2 linked regions of the Coturnix japonica genome follow. Each later gene encodes a partner of the first gene's protein in a complex. Links are inferred from orthologs where the notes say so. Each region holds a gene or a part of one and is shown on either strand. Other genes may lie near its edges.

Region 1 (3,046 bases):
TACACGGGATTTAACACTGATAAAAGGTCAGAGCAATCCCACAGGAGAAGGAGCCGTGCTCTGGATGCCCAGGAAGGTGCCACGGGGAAAGGGTTGGCTCCTTTTCCACAAGCCTTTGGCTATCACACGGCCCACAGAGGTCAAAAGCAGCCATACCTGTGCAGCACGAGGCACATGCCCTGCTCCTATCAGACTGTGAATGCTTTACAATTAAAGACCTATTTTTCTAAAGGATTGTTTGTGTCTTCCTGTTCCCCCTGCTGTAGCACTGGCCTAAGGAGCATACACCAGTCTCTGGGGGAGGCAATAGCTGGGGAACAAACGCTCCTGATTTTCCCAGTGTCCAGCTCCCTCCTGTGGTGGCTGCCATCTCTGCAGGGCAGGTGGGCTCAGCTGGGGATGTGAGATAATAATGCCCCTTGCCTTCCAGTATCCACCTGCCAATTTCACTGTGCTGAGCTCTGGGGTCACACAGCATCACTCAGACTAGGCCAAGCCCCTCCAGGAGCTGCAGCTTGAAAGCCAGTGCCCCTGATGTGGTACCTTTGCTGTCTGCTACCACAACATCCTCCATGAGCATCCCATCTTCATCTACCAACCGGCATTCTGGGAAGCCAACCTTGCCACAACAACCACATCTAGAAAACACATAGCAGTTTAATTAAGAAGCCACATCTGTCTCAGAACAGCTCCTTAGAAAATGATGCCCAGCCCTAGCACAGACAGGTGAGTGCCCCAGTCCAGCGGCCCCTGGTTAGAGCTGGGGCTAAGCCTGCTTTTGAAGTGCAGGAAGGTGAGATCAGCAGGCAGGGCCACAGAGCACCCACGGTCTCCACTGAGAATGAGGCATCAGCCCCTGCACAGAAGGGAAACAGTCAGAAAAGACTGGGATGACAAAGGGGGAAAGTCCCCTCCTCCACCACCACTGGAGGGACTGGGCAGCAAAGGTGCTGGGGCAGGATTTGGGGTGATGGTGTCCTTTCTGCTCTCCAACAGAATGTCTCTGGGGGCAGGCAGCCCTCTGAGGTGCATCATCTCCTAGAAGGCCAACTTCTTCATCAGCAGGTAAACTCTGGAGTCCACTTCAAACCCATGCAGATTGTTTGCGTCTCCCTGAAGGCGCATGAGCAGCCCCCCATAGGACACATAAGCAGAGCTGGGGCAGGAGGAGAGGAGCAGTGAGAGCAGGGAAACCCATAGGAGACCCAGTCAAGATAACGCTGCCTCCCCACCACCCTCAGGCAACGCGTCCCCTTCTCAACAGCCACTCACAGGCGTGTGGCTGCCTCTGTGGACGTCTCATCCCCCTCAATCCTGTACACCTTGCCATACATCACGTACTCAAACTGGTCCGCCCTGCAATGACATGAGGGGAGCTGAGAGAAGCGTCAGACCATCCTTCCCACATCCCCTAACAGAGCATCCTCTGCGAGGAGGCCCCTTGTAGGAGGGGTCTCTCCCACCACTGCGAGCCACGTTACCTGGAGGGCCGGTCATCAGTGGGGTTGTACTCCCCATCATCCAACGTCCCATCCTCATACAGGGTGCTGGCAATGACCAGACGGAACTTGTCCCCTGGGAGGCGATAACAAAGCAGCGCTCAGAGCGCACAGCCGGAGCTGCCCCCCCCCCCCTCCCCGCCCGTCCCGTACCGAGATCCACGGGGTAGATCTGGATGTTGACGTCCAGGATCAGATCCATCTTGAACGACTCGCTCTCGCAGTGCAGCCGGGACACTGAGCGGGCCGGGACGGGGCGTCAACGGGAAGGGCCCGCCGCACCCGGCCCGGCCCTCGGAGCCCCGGGTGGGAGGAAGGGGCGGGGAGCGGGGGGGTCGTATCTCACCACGGTCGAACTTCTTCCCCTCGGGGTCGATGTCCTTCACATCGAAGATGTCCTCGAACAGAATGCCGGCCATGGCGGCGCCCCTTCGCTCCCGCGCCGGCTCCCGCTGCGGCGCACGGTGATGACGTGTTTCCACATCCGGAAACCTCATTCGTGGTGGGCGGGCAGAGGTGCCCGCGCGGTCCTAGCGCCGCCGGCAGCGCCCCCTGCAGGCTGGGGGGGCGCACTGCAGCGCAGGGGGCGGTAGGGGGCGCTGCGCGGCCGCGGATCGAACCGCGTGGGTCGGGGCAGATCCACGGCGGGACGGAGCTCGGAGCTGGGCGGGGGGCAGCAGCGTCACCCCACAGCCCACCCGTGTCACACCCCACAGCGTCACCTTCCCTCCGTGTCACATCCCCGGTGACACCCAGCTCCTACCGCCAGCCCCCTCCCCAAAGGGCTCAATGCGGCCGGGCTGTGTGAGCGGAGGGATGCGCTGGTACAGAGGGACACGGAGGGACACGGAGGGACACGGAGGGACCCGGGTTGGCGGCCCCGCACCTCCGGGGTCGAGGAGCCGAGGTTGGGGTGGGCAGCCCCCACACTATAGCACCTGCCCGGTGCCGCCGTCTCCTCCTTATCTGGAGCCAAACAAGCCCATCCGGCACCTGGTGCCGCTCAGAGCACACAGCACCAGCCCTCAGCCCGCCCCCAACCTGCACGGATCCCACAGACCGTCCCCAGGTGCTCTGCAGCCCCCGGTGCGCCGGGATATATGAAGGGATTTTGGGGGGGGGGGGGGCACAGCTCTGCCTTGGTGCACCCCAAAGCATCCCAGCATACAGTAGGACACACCGGGGGTCCCTCCATGTGGGCTCTCCCCAGGCTGGGAGTCCCATTGCTCACAGTGCCGGGCTGTGTGTGGGTGGGGAGGTTTAGCCGTGGGGCTGTTATCTTTCACTGATAAATTATACAACATGAGCACGGCTTTGAACGGCGGCCAGGCCTCCATCCGGTGGGGCAGCATTGGGGGGCCAACACAGCCTCCAGTGCTCTCTGATGGGGGGGATGGTGATGGAGATGGGGCCGTGGCTTTGGAGTGAAGGGCTGATGGGGATGGGGTCTGCACACAGAGGCAGAGCAGGTGGCAGAGCCACGGCGGCACCTGGGTGGTTGGGCAGCCCCAAATCCTGCACCCTAAATCCCTGCCCTCTCCCCAAAG
Region 2 (3,750 bases), on another chromosome or scaffold:
AATCAAAAGAATGTTAGAAGAAAGACAAGGTTTACACAAAGAAGCAATGAAAATGATACCAAAAGTGGGTGGTCCTCAGTCTTCTTCCACACACTCTTTTTTATGGGTGCACAGAGGTTTATTTTTGCTTGTTTCTTTCAGATGTACCTTACCAACACACTATGAGTACCAGACAGCATAAGCTGGTGTGCCCAGGCATATGTCAGGCAATACACACATATTTTCACATAATCAACATACAGGAGTGCACTCAGTGCCAGTAGATGTACGTTACAGCAGAAACACCGATCTTATTCAGCATTTGAAGATTATAATCCTTGAGATTTTGTCCTCAGAACAGTTTAGCTATATACTGGAATAATACAGAGGGAAGGAAGAAATCTGTATATTATCAGCATTTCATAGTTTTATTTTAATGTTTTACTTTAATGTTTAACACATTCAGAAGTATTTATTTTTTCCAAACTTCTTGCTGACTTTTTACCTAAGATGCCCTGGAAAAGCTGAGTTGTGAAAAATTGGTATCTGAAAAGTAAACAAGGGGACAGGTTTGTAATCTGCTCTCAGGATGGACTCATCAGCTACCATTATGCAAAGGCAAGAAGGAAACAAGAAAGCAACCAGCAGCTAGAAAAGCCAACATAAAAGTGAGTTACCCAAGGGGCTGTTCAAACTCTGATGGCATAACAGATGCTACAGACTTCTTGTCAGGCAAACTATTTCCTTCCAGGGAGGATAATAAAGTTTCAAGCTAATACTAAATGGGAAATGATCACAATATTGTACAGGAACACACAAATCTTCCAGAGCAAGTAAAATAAATTACAAAAAAACTACAAGGCTGTACTGTCTGCTTGAGATATTAGAATTTCTTGTTTTGCTAGTCAACAACTCTGCTTTGGGTGTCTTGAGAAAATGCAGGAAGGCCATTTCTTGCGTTCAGGTTTATCAGCATAGTAGCACGCAGCCAAATTGGAGCAGAGAAACTTTTTGTGATAGTGGAATTCATGCTCCAAGCTGCTCATACCAAACTATGAGGCATTCAGATGTGAGCTGGCTAATGTCCAGTCAGCTCAGAAGTAAACCACAGTAGGCAGACAGCTGTATGCACCATGAAGGATGTTCTGCACTCATGCAGTTACAGTCTGTTAATATGTTTACAATTTAAACATACAGCAGAAATCCTGTACATAATGTAATGATATATAATGACTCCACAAACCTTGAGTGACACTTTCTTTAACCTGGAGGTAATTCTTATCAGAACCTTAGTCTAGGGACTTCAGACTGTATAGAAACAAATGGACTGCACGGATATGAACAGCTTACTGTCTGAAATTATGAGCATATTCATTTTAGAGTAGCCAGCCTTGAGTGTGCGAACTGGAATTGATAAAAAAAGAAAACAAAAGACGAAGCATGGACAAATTTCCCTTTAGAATCAGAACACATCACCCAGGATGAAAACTAATTAACATTATTTACAATATAACAAACAAGATGAATACATGATGGTTAAGTCTAAGCAGAAAACAACATATCTGAAAATATGAGTCAGGAATTAAGATTACCCACAACTGTCTCTCTCCTTCTTCCCTTAAAAACCATGCCTTTCATCTGTCTGTTTGCTCAGTGTCACAGAATCACAGAATGACCCGGGTTGGAAGGGACCTCAAGGATCATGTAGTTCCAACCCCCCTGCCTGGCAGGGCCACCAAACATACACATTTACTAGATCAGGTTGCCCAGGGCCCCGTCCAACCTGGTCTTGAACACCTCCAAGGACGGGGCATCCACAACCTCCCTGGGCAGCCTGTTCTAGGGCGTAACCACTCTCCTAGTGAAGAACTTCCCCCTAACATCCAACCTAAATCTTTCCTCCTTCAACTTGGATCTATTGCCCCGTGTCCTGCTATTGTCAGCCCTTTCGAAGAGTTTACTCCCCTCCTGGGTGTAGGTTCCCTTCAGTTATTGAAAGGCTGCAATAAAGTCACCCCGCAGCCTTCTCTTCTCCAGGCTGAAGTTTACAGCAAATACATTTTTGGGTCTAGACTCTTAAAAGCACCTAAAGTATTTCCAGTCCTAAAGAAACAGTTGAGTAGATGCTGATGCTGTCACTAACCATTCAATCAGGACGCCCTTCAGAACATTCACCATCCTCGCAGCTCTCACAAACGCTGCAAGGTGCGGGTGGCAGCAAAGACTCCTGTTTGAGGTTACAGATAACAGCAGATGAAACCTGTAAGACAAAGAAACGCTTTAGTTGAACTCAGCGACCCAGGACCCCCCTCGCCCCGCCAGCACCCAGAGCGGCTATGCCCCATCCCCCCACCCACTCCTCCGACAGCAGCCCAGCCTCCCGTTGCCGTGTGCGAACCGTGGCCTTGCGAAAGGCGGCCGGGGCGAAGGCAGACAGGCTCCAACCCGTCCCTAGGTTAAACCGAGGACGGCGAACGAGTAGCTCCGGCCCAGCAAGCCCAACCACTGCCCCCACATACACGTACTACGCAAGTGCAGCCCTCGCTCCTCCTATTGCCCTCCTGACACTGTGCGGCGTGATGACGTTGAGTGCGTGAGCGACGGTGCCGGCTGCGAAGGGAGATAGGAAGCGGAAGGTACGGGTAGCGCTGTGGAGAGAGGGGGATGGCGGCGGGGCAGTAGGAGGGGCCAGGGATGGGGTCTGTCCGTGGTCCGATGATTGTGTTTGTCAAACCTCAGCCTTGAAGCCCCTCCTGGCGTGGGGCTGGCCGCTGGCATTGCCCCAGTTGTGCGGAGGCGACCGCAGGGAGAGCGTGCTTATCAGAAATGTAATAAATGAAGTCAGTGGATAAGTGCAGTGCTGAAAGGAGACAGGGCAGAAAGTTGGTGCATACAGTAATCGGTGCTTTCACATGGCCTGAAATGCCTCATTGCTTAACACTACAACTGTACATTCATTGAACCTCAATCTGTAGATGCTAAAATACATCCCTTATTAACTGTGATGTTACAGGGTATGTCAGCAAGAAAAGACAAACGTTTCCAAATCTGACTTGCCTACAATGTATATGAGTTGTTAGAGCCTGCTAAGTCAAAATACAAGACTTGGGTGTTAAGATAAAATTAATTATGAACAGCTAATTACTAAGTCATATGCTGTACTCAGCACTGTCTTCATGTGAACATGATGCGTTTAAGTGAGGATTACTAAGACATTGGAAAAGGCCTCACACAGAATCACAGAATTGTAGGGGTTGGAAGGGACCTCTAGAGATCATCGAGTCCAACCCCCCTGCCAAAGCAGGCTCCCTACACCATGTCACACAGGAAGGCGTTCAGGTGGGTCTTGAATATCTCCAGAGAAGGAGACTCCACCACCTCCCTGGGCAGCCTGTTCCAGTGCTCCGTCACCCTCACTGTAAAGAATCACAGAATCACTGTAAAGAATCACAGAAAAATGCCTCTGCCTCAAAGCAGAGCAGGTAGTCAGAGATGGATACTTACCAGTATTAGCACAAATATGTAATTGCATGAAGATTTTCTGTAAACTTTTGCTGTAACCAAAATGCAAACTACTAAATTCAGGAGTTTATAGGCTTTTTAATTTTTACTTAGAGTGCTTTATAACGCACAAAATGACATAAATATGCTTTACAACCTTTCCTGTAAAAAGGGAAACATGGCTACAAGTTTTCTGTTGTAATTGCCAAATCAATTTATTTATTTTTTTCTTTTTCTGAATATACAGAATGTCAGTGGCTGCTTACTGCA

The links.
Region 2: POLR2H (region 1) and GTF2H5 share a complex: the UniProt entries of both Homo sapiens proteins name them as parts of the TBP-based Pol II pre-initiation complex. The link is inferred for Coturnix japonica from reciprocal best matches to the Homo sapiens genes POLR2H and GTF2H5.

What each region holds. Positions count from the first base shown.
Region 1 is NC_029524.1:13,963,122-13,966,167, forward strand, and holds POLR2H (DNA-directed RNA polymerases I, II, and III subunit RPABC3), read right to left. Parts: upstream 1,983-3,046; 5' UTR 1,919-1,982; coding exon 1,846-1,918; intron 1,737-1,845; coding exon 1,653-1,736; intron 1,576-1,652; coding exon 1,482-1,575; intron 1,357-1,481; coding exon 1,273-1,356; intron 1,157-1,272; coding exon 1,039-1,156; 3' UTR 638-1,038; downstream 1-637. UniProt on the Homo sapiens protein: DNA-dependent RNA polymerase catalyzes the transcription of DNA into RNA using the four ribonucleoside triphosphates as substrates.
Region 2 is NC_029518.1:46,900,730-46,904,479, reverse strand, and holds the start of GTF2H5 (general transcription factor IIH subunit 5), read right to left. Parts: upstream 2,605-3,750; 5' UTR 2,505-2,604; exon of another isoform or gene 2,378-2,504; intron 2,240-2,377; 5' UTR 2,158-2,239; coding exon 2,123-2,157; intron 1-2,122. Other genes in the region: protein SERAC1, read left to right, coding at 3,729-3,750. UniProt on the Homo sapiens protein: Component of the general transcription and DNA repair factor IIH (TFIIH) core complex, which is involved in general and transcription-coupled nucleotide excision repair (NER) of damaged DNA and, when complexed to CAK, in RNA transcription by RNA polymerase II.